3 linked regions of the Neodiprion lecontei genome follow. The protein of the gene in region 1 purifies or fractionates together with the protein of each later gene. This does not show direct contact. Links are inferred from orthologs where the notes say so. Each region holds a gene or a part of one and is shown on either strand. Other genes may lie near its edges. The genes, in order: COP9 signalosome complex subunit 6, cullin-5 and protein mahjong.

Region 1 (3,600 bases):
TGTGGTTTATTTAGTTCGATCATACAATTTATGTACTGATTGATTATGATTCCAAATACTTGTAGTATCAATATATATAAATATCAGTTTTGTTGTAAAATAACCATAAGAAAAATATCGAAAATTAACGGCAAGCAAAAACAATTTCAATAAATTTTTGTTAGTGAACAATCATCATCATCTGTTATCCTATACATAATGCATAAAACCACGAAGGCTTACCGATATTGCTGTATAAGCATGTATACAGATGAGTAGAGTTAGCCCATAGGGGAAATTGAACGTTACTACATAAAAAATATATTACTTAATCCTCAATTAAATTCATACAACAAAGTGAATATTCCATATGAAAATAAAAATAATTCTATACACCAGATTTGAATTATAATTTAATATTGTAATATTAAATCTTAACCGTTACTTATAAACCGAATAGCAACCTTACTCTTTCAAGAATCATATGCACAGCAGTTGCACAGCCTTAAAAAAAACGTTGTTCATTGACTAGAGATACAATGATGTTCGACTAAATTCTGAAAACAATGGTCTTGAACAAAATTGTGAGATACAATGTTTTTGAATCAAATTATTAAATATGATGTTGTTGATGTCGTTCTGCTCAGTAGTAAAATTTATACATATGAGGTATTCTATACCAACTTAACCAACATTGGACGCTTACCATTTCTAATCTTGTTTAAACATTTTTATGGAATTGTACCAAATCCATAACAGTACCCCGAATTTTTTCAGATTTTTTGGACTGAAAGTTGCTTTACTTGCGTTTTTTAAAATCAACATGTTTTTGACCTTAATTTAGAAATCTGAAAAGATTCTCAAAAATCATGTGTCAGACATTAAAATTTTTGAGCTTAAACCCTGAGTGGGTCGACATTCCCTTCTTATTTTTTTTCGAGATTTCTTGAAGAAAACTAATTGAAAAAAAAAGAAGCAATTGTCATTCTTTTGTGAGAAATTTTCAGTCATTTGTTGGCAAAAATTTTAATATGTAACGCGTACTATTTAAGAATTCTTAAGATTTTTTTAAACTCATTAATTATTAACAATTTTTTCATTTGGAACAAAAATTTGGAATCTGAAAAAATTCTTAAAAATCCTGGGTTGTGTATAAAAATGTTTGAGCAGCGGCCCACAAAAGACTGACAATTGCATCTATTTTTTTTTTTTATTTAAGAAACTTAAAAAAGAGTAGAAGCAAATGCCAGCCTAATCCGGATCTAGGCTTAAAAATTTCGATACTTGACACAAGATGGTTGTGAATTTTTTGGCATATTTAAATTACGGCCAATGACATTTAGGTTTTCAAAAATCATAAGTAAACAAATTTACTCAGAAAAATCTGACCAAGGTCGGGATCCTGTTTTGGAGTTGGGACAATTCTATGAAAAGTTTTTGACCAAAATGACAAAAGGTGAGGTCTGGAAGTTGGTTAAGTTGGTGTGGAATATCCCATTTATATCTTTGGGTACTGTACCCTAAGAAATTTCCTGAAATACTTGAAACATTTTCCAACTGTAAAATTTCCACAGTATGTATTGTGAGATTTTACAGATTTCTGACCATTGCTGCTTTTCTGCAATGTCATAAATTTCATTATGTTTCTAGAACTTGCAGCACTATTTAGATCGTTGAATACACATTCTGTAATAATACAGTGATGGATTGGACATGTTTTGGAGCAGAAAATGTATGGAAAGAGATTGTTACATAGTAAACACTTACTTCTGTATGTTTACACCTCGGGTCTAACTTAAGTAGCACAGGACATTCGTTAATTTCGCATAGCTGTTTGTGTACCCTGATGTCTCTGTCTGTTGGGGCATCTCCTGTTGTGTACCACCCGAGAAAATCCATTTCACTAAACACCTGCTTGAACTGTTCTTCTTTCGTATTGTAGTAATCTCGATCAATGACAACATCGTCACCGATAGATGTAAACAAGAGCTCGAAAGAATTCATTATCTCTATGTTACGTCCCTTCTGTTTACCGATCAGTGCTCCGTAAACTGTAAGAATTAATAAATAATTAATACAAACACTATGCATTAGAGTGTAAATCATTCAGGTTTCAACATGCATCGTTCTCTTGTAATCGAACTTACAGAACTTTATTTGCGCATTATCGAATCATGTTAGATTAGGGTATATTCTGCCACCGTGATCATAGCACACCATAAACTGACTTCAGGGCACTGAAGTAAAAAGTTGTATTCTATTACACTCACCCAGTTGATCAGAGCCTTCCTGTGCCCTGAGCCTCGTCCAATGTTCACTAACATTCATTATGACGAGAGGATGCAAACTGATTGACACTGAGCCGACAGTCCCAGACGAGGCCATCACGCTCTTCACGTTACTTGTGACTGGGGTTGTATCCATCGCGCTAACAACGTTGCTTTCTTCTACCTCCATTTCACTAAACGACGGCTCGCTCATTTTGGTATATTTTTACGCTCAAACTAGCAAACACGACAGTTTTATCTATACTCTTTACTTACTGATGGCTGGTGGCTACAAAGGCGTAAATACTACAAAGTACCGTCTACGACAGCCTGCGGCGAGTTGTGAAACAATCGTTGGTTTAGACCGTTGGGAGTTAAGACTGGTTGAGACCCTATTGCCCTATTCTGTATTTATCTGAATAGCTAATTTCTATGGCAGCCTGTGCTACCAATTTATAACTTTTGAAGCGCCTCGAGTCAGCCTAGTTACCACCCAGGGAACTGACGTAGTAATGTGTGCGCATGCCTGAACGCGGGAAAAGTCAAACGTTTTATACTGCGTACGAAACTACCTTGTATTTAAAATCTGTCAAAGTGAAGAATGTATAATTGTAGTGGTATAAAAGAAATATATATTATGATCGCATACGAATTCTGCCATATGCGACCAGAAAAGTGGAAAGATTTATCGTTTTTCGAATAATAGAGGCAAAAAAGTTGATGATCTCGAGAGTAGAGTATAACGTAGCGTTTGCAGTCGCAGGGGTTTTCTGAAATATAAGGAACTTACCATGGTCCTTCGTTGAAGGGATAACTACAACGGCACTCACCATGAAACTAGATTTCGAACTAATTTTTTTCAGGCACACTACTATACTTTCTACTTTCAGAGATGGTTATCACGTTGCAAACAAAATTGTACATATGAATTTTTTTAGTTTTCCCATTTACTAATTAATTTTCCAGAATTTTAGAATTAACGCCGTTCATGGATATAAAGGAGTTATTAAGTCTGCAAGATTCATCTCATAATATTCTCTTACGTACATATATCCGGGTTATTTCTAATAATGAAGAATTCAATCAAGTGTTCGCTTATTAGTATTTACACGGTATAAAATAACGTATGAACTTTGGTTAAAACCCAGAAAGATCAGATACAGCTTTAACTAGAAGAAATCATTTGTATATACATATTATTCAGTGTACTATTGTTGGCAGCAAACAAGCGGTATTTTTGAAGTTTTCTATTACCTTTTACACGTAATCAGATAACAGGAAAAGTAAATGACTTCATTTTAAGAATTATGAGAGACAGTGGTTATTTATTAGAATATTTCATCTCAGTATAAAA
Region 2 (5,520 bases), on another chromosome or scaffold:
AGGCATTTACAAGGAAACTTAGATAAGGAATAATAAGTAAAGGTCGCTAACTTTAACAAACGTTTAAACGTAGTATTATCAAAGTAATTATGATTTCGTAAAATAGATGAAAATAAAAAGTTTACAGATTTTGGTTTAAATTTAGGACTAATAGGTAACATTTTGGCTATCAAAAAATCTTTAAGGCTTCACACAAAACGTTTTTTCCACTATTTTAATTGAATTAAATTTAATAAGGTAATGTTTAATTTTCTCTACTCTTTGTTATAAATAACTCTACATAATTGGACATGCATATTAAAATTTGTTGTATGTTTTTACATTTTTTATAGCACAATTTTTTATACTTTAATGGAAGTCGTACTCGTATATAATAGATAAGTGAATGAATGACAGTTGCATAATTACCTGTTGTCTTTCTGGTATGATCCCGGCAACACTGCCTAAGGTACGCAGAGTAAGCGCTCTTGCAACTGGATCGTTGGAATGAATAACGCTAAAAATTCGTCTGACAAATTCATCAACATTAAGAATTTTGTCCAAGTGTTTTTCACTTTGTTGGCAAACCCTCAATACCCAGACGCGCAGAAAGTTGCTGCCTATCCGAAAGACGTCAGCCAACTTGAGCAGCGAAGAGTTTATCAGGATTGGAAAAGGATATTTTTCGAATAGGCGGGGAAATCGTACGATAGCTTCGCACTGCTCCCCTATCTTGTTCGACCGAAGACCTAAAACATTAAAACTTTGTCACAGGATGTCCAGATTTCCCGAATAGTTTAGAAATTTGAATTTTTAATCATCCAGTCATTCGGCCCGTTAAAGGGTTAAGATTTTTTCATCTGTAAACACAAGCTGTTACTCTCATCACTATCAAGTGTTCGACAATTTATTACTGACTTGTTTGAAAATTTCAATCAACTTTAGCATTAAATTTGGATGCTATAGAGTTTTATCTATGTTGAATAAAAATTCCGATACGAATTGTTCTGTAATAACACCGAATATTTGTTTGAAAACCAGAAATGCATAAGCTAACCTCAAATTCAATAACACGTCATATCCCGGCGAAGATTCTAACATTTTTGAGCATTCGAGTAGTCCTACAGGAAGTAAGATTGAGGAGAATATTAAGACTACGAAGATGCTGCAAATTTAGTTAATCTTCTGCCTTACCATCGAAATTCAACGTGGTAGCTTTGACAATCAAAGTAGTTAACCTACAATTTTGATTTTGCAATTACCTTTATCCAGCTCGATTAGAGCTGAATTTGCATCTTGCTCCGGCTCTCCTAAACCTGTATCGTTGAATGCGTTCATCCTCATGCCGATCATCTTACAAAATGATGTATTTTATTTCAGTTTTATAGAAATTGAAAACGTTTGCTCTTTTCCGGCACTATCCAAATATGTTTACTTCTGCAGTGAGTACAAAATATAATTACTACCCGTAAGGTCCCTAGGCAATTTTCAGTTTATCGATATGGCTCGAAGTTTGAATCTCCAGAAGAAGTGACATTTCCATATAGTGTAAATATTATGTTTGCCATTATCTGACGATCCTAATTAACTAATTGCTTTCGATATTCCGTTTTCAAAGAAACAATTCAATCGAATTTAATTGTTCGCTGATAACGAAATAAAATTATTCTTTTCAAATGGCTGCAGGGCTGTCTCACTGGTGCCTGGCAGAGAGAATCCTGAGAGAGCCCACCGTGCACGTCTTTTGTGTTCTCTATTTTGTAGCGCTATCAATCACGAGATAGGTATTTGGAACAAATCTTCGAGGTGCATGTTCAGTAATCGAATGTCGGTAAGCGATTAGCATTCTACCGTATTTAGAATCACGGGGGCCGTAAATGTTTGTAAATTGTTCAGTTTCGTCCGTTTCGTCTACGACCGGGTATCAGGGTGTTCTATATCTTATGCTGACAACGGCAGAGTTCAGTCCACGGCAGAGTATTGGTCACCTACTGACACATGCTTACCGACCGATCACCGTGGAAATTAGTCCTAAAAATGAATTTCTCATAGAGGGCGCTATGATATCAGGGACACGAAAAATGCTAGTGTAGGCCATCTCAGGCTCCTCGCTGCAGCTGGCTTTGAAGAAAATGGGGGAAAGCAACTAGTTATAACATGTCAAAAACTAGTGTGGCGGCGATGTTAAAGGTTAGTTGTCATTAAATAACCGCAAATAATAGGTAAACGGTGAAGGGATTTTGCTAATGACGGAGAAAATATCAATCACCAACAACTGAGTAGACCCAAATTTTGGGCGAACGAATTCCCATGATACTCGAGCTATTCGACTGAAAATGACTCATCTGGCATTGAAAATCAAATTCGATCACTGAACAAACCGCCGATATTGAGTGAATTGCGACTAAGCTGATACTATTCATCACGAAATATTCAAAATTTCTCACCTGCGTGCCTACTGATCTCGTTTTTCATCGTCTATTTATGCAGGACCGGAATCAGTTTAGCTTCGCAGGAAAATGGCCATGCATGCGCCCAGTAATATTGAAATTACTGAAACAAGAAGCTGTTACACAAGGGGAATGGCAGGATCTATTTTATTCAGTTCACTTGGTCTGCCTATGGGACGACAAAGGTCCTCCCAAATTAAGGGACACTCTCAAAGTGGACATAATGGATTTCATACAACAAGCACAGCAGGTAATCAATGTTGTAATTAGCATTTTCCCTCTCGGAATCTGCGAGTGACTCGCTTCCAATTTATGTATGTTATAATCCTTGCCTTACGTTGATTCAGAGAGTATTGGCGCATCAGGAAGAGCAGGCGTTGCTTAAAGCCTACATAACTGAATGGCGCAAATTTTTTACCCAATGTAATTATTTGCCAACACCGTTTAGGCAACTGGAAACTTCGCTTGCTGGAAAGACTACTACACAGAAAAGGAATCAAGCGGAGGAAAGTATAGTTAGAAAGGTAATACTCATTCCTTATTTTTGATGGATTTCTGCTGCTAGATTTATTAATCAAGTCAATATTTATTTCTGAGCAATAGTTGATGCTGGACAGTTGGAACCAGAGTATATTTGGAGACATAAAACAAAGGCTACAGGATTCAGCCATGAAGCTGGTGCGGGCGGAAAGAAATGGGGAGGCGTTTGATTCGCAGTTGGTCATTGGTGTTAGAGAATCTTATGGTGAGGCCTATGCAAGTGAAAGAGGAGTTTTCAGTAAAAACAAATGGGAATTAAAAAGAAAATTTCACAATTAATTCAATCAAACACATTATTGATTCAACAATAGTTATTGTAAGAATAATATTGTCTCAAACAAAACTTGAACTATGATCTGAAGTGGAAAACTTGATGTAGAACGTTTTATAGGATGTCTTGTTAAAATAAATCCTGACTTATATTTCAAGAAATTAAAAGTAAAGTTGAAGATTAATTGTTAATTTCACTTTTATCTCTTACAGTTAATCTGTGTTCAAATACAATGGACAAGCTGCAAATATACAGAGATAATTTTGAGGCATCGTACATAAAAGCCACGGAAGAATTTTACAAAATAAAAGCTCCTGAGCAACTTTCTCTGCATGGAGTAGAGACTTACATGCGATATGCAGAGGTAAAGTTGAGAGAAGAAGAATTGAGAGCTCAAAAATATTTGGAGCCAAATAGTGCAAGTGTACAGTTGTTGACGGATTGCTGTGTTTCTGTACTTGTCGCTACCTTCAAGTCAGCCATCCTTGCCGAATGTCCTCGCATGATTCAGCATCATGAAACAGAAAGTAATTTGAGAAAGAGACTAATAATCTTAGACAATATAAACTTTGCTAACATTAAATACATTACAAATTTTTCACACAATTTTTATTTACAGAGCTCAGACTCATGCTCAAGTTGATGGATCGCGTACCAGATGGAGTGAGTCCAATGTTAAAAGACCTGGAAGATCACATAGCGAGTGCCGGTCTTGCCGATATGATGGCAGCAGTCGATGTGATAACCCAAGACTCTGAAAAATACGTAGAAAGATTGTTGGATCTCTTTAGACGATTTTCTACTCTGGTTAAGGAGGCGTTTGACGACGATCCGCGATTCCTCACAGCCAGAGACAAGGCATATAAATTAGTTGTCAATGATTCAACTGTATTCAGACTTGAACTGCCTGTTAGACAAGGTACCGGTGTAACTGCTCCAGTCATCCCAACTAAACCTGTAAACAGCAATAATGGACAGCCAGAATCCAAGTGTCCTGAACTACTGGCAAATTACTGCGATATGTTGCTCAGAAAAACACCGTTAAGTAAGAAACTTACTTCGGATGAAATCGAGAGCAAACTTCGGGACGTGGTGAGCTCAGTTGTGTTTCATATATTTCCAGGGGATGTTTAAGTGCTATTGGCTAAGTGCTTTGTGATAATTGAAGTGAAATGTAAACATCACAATATTCAAATTTTATTCTAGCTGCTCGTGCTAAAGTACGTTCAAAACAAAGACGTATTCATGAGATACCATAAGGCTCACCTCACTCGGAGATTGATTCTGGATACTTCAGCAGATTCTGAGAAGGAAGAAAATATGGTGGAGTGGTTACGAGAAGTCGGCATGCCTGCGGACTATGTAAATAAATTAGCACGCATGTTCCAAGACGTCAAAATTTCCCAAGATCTCAATCAACAATTCAAAGAACAGTGCCGCGCTACCATTGCCGACAGCATTAATATAAAGGTGAAGCAAATCAAGTCGTTGTTTTTTTTTTTTTTATTATAGGAGTCGTACTTTCGTTTCTCCACTATTCACCCTGTTCACTGTCTTACATTATACAAAATATATTTATCAATTATTTATATGCATTTTGCAATAGATATTGAATGCTGGCGCATGGGCAAGAGGCAGCGAGCGTGTCACTGTCAGTTTACCCCTTCAATTAGAAGATTACATCCCCGAAGTTGAAGAGTTTTACAAAAAGAAGCACAGTGGCCGTAAACTGCAATGGTATCATCACATGTCAAATGGAACGGTAAATGCATTTACATTTATAAGAAGTTGATTTAAAAACTTTTCTTAGCACTATGTGCGAATTACAATCCAGTTTGTAGTCTAAGTAAACATCAATACTGCACAATCTCAAAGATTCAAACAGGCAATAACATAAAATGAGTTTACAGATAACATTTTGCAATAAAATGGGGCGATTTGATGTTGACGTGACAACATTTCAAATGGCTGTTCTATTTGCTTGGAATCAACGACCTTTCGAAAAGATTTCATACGAAAATCTTCGATTAGCAACCGAGTTACCAGATACAGAATTAAGGCGTACACTGTGGTCGTTGTGCGCTTTTCCTAAACTTAGACGTCAACTCCTTCTAGTCGAACCTAGCACTTACAGCCCGAAAGAATTCGCGCATGACACTCGTTTCTGGGTGAATCACGAGTTTGCTATTGTGTGAGTAAAAATAAATGAGTGAAATCTCCGAATAATCAGACGGAAATAATGTGTACTTATTCCTAATCGAAATAAATTATCATTTGTTA
Region 3 (5,520 bases), on another chromosome or scaffold:
TGACGCACATTCTTCATCATCATTCAAAGCCGGGTCATCATCAATGTTTAGAATGGGTAATGTAGATATCTAATGTAAATCAGGAAATACATGTCTCAAAAATAATGATGATAATAATAATAATAAGATTTAGCAAATGCAATATAGTATTCTCACATTGCAAACCCCAAATTAATGCGACATACATTTTCACAATCACAGAAATGAATGAAATTACTGATTGTTCTAGTTTTGGAATTAAACTGTCATTTTTTTCTCGTTCAAAATGGTGGTTTGTGTATAATGACTTTATTATGTCTCGCAAAACACTGCAGTTTGATATTAAGTTCATATACTCACAACATTGTATAATTTCCTAAGTCCATCTTGGAGATCAAATTCTTCCAGAATAACTTTGAAAGGAAATGAAAATCCAAAGAACATTGTTGCATGACATCTACCAGAATCGTGACTTCTCTCCAGTAACCACAATGCATATTTCACTAAATCGGTTATTATATGTTTCGGTAAGAGACAAACTCTTTCCATAGCATCCTCACAGTATGCAAGATAATACAAACAAATAGAAACACCAGTTGCCGCGACACTGGGTCTTGGTACATCTAAGAGTTTTTGTAATCCACCCATACTTAGGAACTCGATAGAAAATTTTTTATGACACAGTAAAGATGCTAAGTATTTTAAAGCTTCAAAAGCTAAGCGACTATCCTTTGTTTCCCGTACATTTATGTAGTTTAATATCAATTCCAAAGCGTTTTGCTCGAATACGTGCCCAAGAAATTCTTGGTATTCTCCCATTGGTGTGAGGTACCTTAAAATCAGCATCTGACGAGTAGCCAAAGTGGGCGGATGTATTTGAACATTGCCAATAACGTAAGACTCCATTTCAGCCCAGGACGAATTCGAATTACCTTCTAGAAGCAAGGAAGGCGGGTTGATTACTTGAGTCTGAGGTTTAGACAAATTAGATCTACCAGATGCCAATATGTTGACAGGTCTTGGTGGTGTTACACGAGTGTTTTGATTCTTCGCTGGTGTAACTTGTAAAGTTGTATAGGTAGTTATACGAGGAATAGATAACGGTGGGGACATAATCTCGGGGTATGAATCTCTGGTGTTATCGTTAGATTTAACAGGTGTTAAAACAGCATTTTCCATGTTATTTTGAGACTTGAGTTTTTTGCTTGGTGGCATTTCGTCCGAACTTTGAATCGAGTCTTCTTCATCTGAGCAAAAAATTGAGTGCGTAGGGCTTTTCATTGTTCCATTTTCATGTTTCTTCTCTCTCACTTTCCGTTTTCCAGGAGTACCTTTGTGTTCAGTATCACCCAGGCTATTTCTATTCTGACCAAAATGTGCAAATGGTCTTGTGTTAACTGCTGCATGACGATTTTCCAAAGCTTTTTCTTGTAGCTTGTGTAATCTTTGCAGCATCAAAGGCACCATTTTACCATTCTGTTCTCTAAATCCTGTAGCAATGTCTTGAACTTCCATTGCAGCAGCTAACAAACCGGTGGCATAACTTTGTAAAGGCTCTATGCTTTTTTCAGCCCACGAAAAAAGCCTATGGATAAGCCCATCCATATCGGGTTGAAACACTGCTGATGTTTCTAGGCCTGGCAATATGTCCAACATCAAACGGCAGGCTGCAATATTCAACTTTCGCACATCACGACCGTTAATACCTGACCGTGTCCAGTACGTGTCTCTTAGATAATCATTTATCAGCTGTAACACAAATCATTGAATTGAATTTTTCCAAATAGTCAAATGACAGATCGAAAATATGTTTCGGATAAAGACTCAACAATTGTTCAAAGCTGATGTTTGAGACAGACAAGTTTGTTTTGTCCCTGATTTCATTACTCACATTGGATGTAAGAAATTATTAGATTTGATATGGTTTCAATGCTGTTATCATTTGTTTCAAAAAATTACACAATAAATATGGAACAAGGTACTACCTTTGTCATGAAGTTGTCCTTTCTAAACAAAACTTTCAAAATATGTCCAAAATTACATTCTGGATCAGTGCGTGAAGGGTGCCTTTCGTCAAATGGATCTGGATCCATTTTTAAGTAATTTTCTGTCTCTATTTCTATAATTTCAGCCAAACGTTGCAATGTTGGTATTGGATCATACGTCGGTGAAACATGGTCTTCTTCCCACTGACGCAGAATTTGAACAACATCTGTTACTTCCGCAAGTGATTCTACTGTCGCCATGACTTTTGTTCTATCAAAGTAAAGATACAAGGAAAAATTAAAGCAGAATTGTCTGAATCATGAAAAATTACCTTGTACTCATATGAGCCATTGAGACTTTCAAATGAATAAAATTCATTGGAATTACAAACCAGGAAATAATTGATATTTGTAAATAGTTATTCAAATGCAACCTTTTAACACAATTTTGCTGAGCCATGTTTATTTTTGATTTTGGAATAAGGTCTTTGAAGAATCTGCTAATAATGAATACGACTCGTTAATTTTAAGCAAAGGATAAGCCATGTACTTAATTTGCAAAAGTGTACAGTTTTGTAACGGAAGGTTCCACAACTCGAAAAAACGAACATAACACCGAAGACTCTAACCTTAAATAACAGAATTCCGAGATTAAAGTATGATCTATCAAAGCGTAATAAAATTATTAACTATACTAGACATATTACAGGTATCGCAAAATGTAACTCCTATTTATTAAAGGGAGTGATACAACAACTGCTTGACATATCTGTGCCTCTTAAATCTTGTACAGAAATGTTACCAGATGTATAGGTTAGGTTAGGTTAAAACAACAAGTTTTTCAAGTACCAACGACTATGACAGCTTTCAAAATTGTACCTTATTGATGTTAAATTACCAAGAAAGTTTAATCAACGTTTTTCGATAGCAAACAACCTATATCCCTTCTAATTGCCCAAAATATTTTGTTAAAACGCACATACAAGACTGTCGCCACCGACACAAGCTTCGACTGCCGAACGCGGTCTGCACATGGCCAAATTTATGATTCATGCACACGATTCGTTTGCGTGCGAAAGGTCAAATTCAGATCAATGTGTTTGTAGGTAATGTCGGGATGACCAGCTATCGTCACTTATGTTAGGTTTTTCAGGGAAAATGGTCACTGGGCGATATCAAACTCGAAAAACCAAAATATTTGTCATCAATTATTCAATTTTTGGAATTTTTTTTTGACATTTCGCGCCCCAAGACTTGACCTGGCAGAGCTCCTACGCCAATGAGAACAAAGAACGACATCCACGTGATCTATATCGACGAATCGTGAATGAACAAATTTAAAATTATGCTTCTGCGTCAAAGTGAAACATAACCGTAAAATATGCGACAAGAACATAACCTACACCGTGTATATTTCAAATTTACACTGTGTTCATACGGTTCATACGAAACAATAATTCAGAGCGATGAGCGGAGGTGTTGCTCCGAGTAAATCAACGGTTTACGTTTCTAACTTGCCCTTTTCTCTGACTAATAATGACATACACAAGCTTCTCGAAACGTACGGAAAGATCGTCAAGTGAGTGATCACTTCGAAAATTAATGATGCAACTTGTTAACTATTTAATAAACTTTTGGAATTTCAGTATTTCGTAATTACCATACACGCATTCACTTTTCTCTTTTATCTTTACCCAGAGAAACATATATAATATCTTATCTAATGTATTGAATCTATAATTGTAGCTAACTTAAACAGTTGATTAAAATGTGATTTTATGAATTGCAGAGTTACTGTGTTGAAAGACAAGATGACTAGACGCAGCAAGGGTGTTGCATTCGTCTTATTTCTCACACGTGAAGATGCCATTACTTGTGCAAAGACTCTAAATAATACTGAGGTAAAATATATATCAATATCATATGTTTGTCTTACTATCATAACTTATTTTAATAATGAATATACATCTCACACAAAATGAAGAAAATTTTCTATTCTCAGATTGGTGGCCGTACTGTGAAAAGCTCCATAGCCGTGGATAATGGACGCAGTACTGAATTCATTCGACGAAAGGATTATCCAGACAAATCTCAGTGTTACGAGTGTGGTGAAGAAGGGCATCTGTCGTACCAATGCTCTCAAAATACTTTGGGCCCCAGAGAACCTCCACCAAAAAAAATCAGAATTAGAAAAAAAAATAAAGATCAAGCAAAAGGCGATACCTCATATTATGATAGTGACAGTGACGAAGGCTTGAGAGAACCAGGTGGTGTTGGGGACTCTGAGACAATATATGACAATGCAGTGGCTGAATCAGATTTAGAAACTTTGAGTGCTGCTATACATCACGAGGTAGGAAATTGTGTCATTTGGAAAGTTTTTAATCTTAAATGCACTTTTTAGATTCTTATTTGATCATTTTATTTCAGCAAGAACAAGAGGAACTTGCAAAGTATAGGTTCCAAGTTGCAACTGGCCAGTACGAAGAGCCAAGACAGGAATCTTCGAAACCTAAAAAACGTTTTAAAAAAAATAATTACTTTAGTGATGAAGAGGAACTAAGTGATTGAGAATAATTGAGATTTGTTTCGAAATGGATATTCCTTACATATTTTATTTTGAAAACGAGTTATGTTACAAAATTGAACTCAAATTTTTGAAAGTACAAAACATTATTCTATATTATAATAAAATATACTATAACTTTGGTCTATGTACATTTCCAGATACGAGCACCGCTTGCCTCGTCTCATCTTGAATGTTGCTTTTGGGTGACCATTGCCTTTAAAACTTTCATACTGTAACCAGTAAGTAATTGTTAAATCATAATAAGAAATATTATGCGCATGCTAACATTTTTTAAAACTGACTATAGTCCTACCAAGTTTAAAAAATTTCAATACCAAAAGCATGAAACTATATGCAAGTGTATGAACCTAGGAAGAGTCACATTCGTTACTGAATTTTCAACAACACTATCGATTATTTAATGTAAATAAATGCCAATAATCTATGACTGACATTGTAATTACAAGTGTTTATTCTTTGCACAAATATAAGTTTTTACAAATTCTTCGTTTATTCATTTACTATGTCAGCAGAAATGACTTAATCACAGGTTCCCATGACTTTCTTGGGGAACCACATATTTCAATTATTTAGAACAAGTAAATATAAAGAATACTCAATTAATTACGATTTTTTTTTTCACCTTTCCGCCACATTCTCCGGTTTTGAAACGGATTGAAAATATGACTTGACATGCCACTCTATTTCGCATTATTTCTGCGTGCAGAAATTGACCTACTGATTGACTGCTTTTTGGAAATAACTTCTGACAACCATGATGAATTATTAGGTTTCCCCTGATTAGTTGATATACTATTATCAAATAACTTTACAGCTTGCTGTGTATTTGTACAAGGCAGTTTTTCTCTCAGTTCAAAATGCGTTTTGAATCCTTCGAATTTTGGAGTCTTATCAAGTCGTCCATCAAAAGATGCCGTTTTATCATAGACAAAGGTTGATTTCACACTCGTCAAAGCAGCTTCTACA

What was found.
Region 2: the proteins of COP9 signalosome complex subunit 6 (region 1) and cullin-5 purify together in Homo sapiens (affinity purification with mass spectrometry; 5 studies listed by BioGRID and IntAct, with this or other methods). This does not show direct contact. The link is inferred for Neodiprion lecontei from reciprocal best matches to the Homo sapiens genes COPS6 and CUL5.
Region 3: the proteins of COP9 signalosome complex subunit 6 (region 1) and protein mahjong purify together in Homo sapiens (affinity purification with mass spectrometry; 7 studies listed by BioGRID and IntAct, with this or other methods). This does not show direct contact. The link is inferred for Neodiprion lecontei from reciprocal best matches to the Homo sapiens genes COPS6 and DCAF1.

Annotation. Positions count from the first base shown.
Region 1 is NC_060261.1:28,662,731-28,666,330, reverse strand, and holds the start of COP9 signalosome complex subunit 6, read right to left. Parts: upstream 2,675-3,600; 5' UTR 2,461-2,674; coding exon 2,250-2,460; intron 2,031-2,249; coding exon 1,747-2,030; intron 1-1,746. UniProt on the Homo sapiens protein: Component of the COP9 signalosome complex (CSN), a complex involved in various cellular and developmental processes.
Region 2 is NC_060266.1:20,108,390-20,113,909, reverse strand, and holds the start of cullin-5, read left to right. Parts: upstream 1-2,075; 5' UTR 2,076-2,136; coding exon 2,137-2,169; intron 2,170-2,469; coding exon 2,470-2,679; intron 2,680-2,776; coding exon 2,777-2,953; intron 2,954-3,032; coding exon 3,033-3,174; intron 3,175-3,452; coding exon 3,453-3,767; intron 3,768-3,859; coding exon 3,860-4,332; intron 4,333-4,446; coding exon 4,447-4,710; intron 4,711-4,846; coding exon 4,847-5,002; intron 5,003-5,150; coding exon 5,151-5,431; intron 5,432-5,520. Other genes in the region: integrator complex subunit 7, read right to left, coding at 409-728, 1,242-1,332. UniProt on the Homo sapiens protein: Core component of multiple cullin-5-RING E3 ubiquitin-protein ligase complexes (ECS complexes, also named CRL5 complexes), which mediate the ubiquitination and subsequent proteasomal degradation of target proteins.
Region 3 is NC_060260.1:28,672,417-28,677,936, reverse strand, and holds the start of protein mahjong, read right to left. Parts: upstream 3,033-5,520; 5' UTR 3,018-3,032; coding exon 2,944-3,017; exon of another isoform or gene 2,814-2,943; intron 2,568-2,813; exon of another isoform or gene 2,425-2,567; coding exon of another isoform or gene 2,399-2,424; intron 2,236-2,398; coding exon 1,965-2,235; intron 1,729-1,964; coding exon 340-1,728; intron 70-339; coding exon 1-69. Other genes in the region: uncharacterized protein LOC107223374, read right to left, coding at 5,235-5,515. UniProt on the Homo sapiens protein: Acts both as a substrate recognition component of E3 ubiquitin-protein ligase complexes and as an atypical serine/threonine-protein kinase, playing key roles in various processes such as cell cycle, telomerase regulation and histone modification.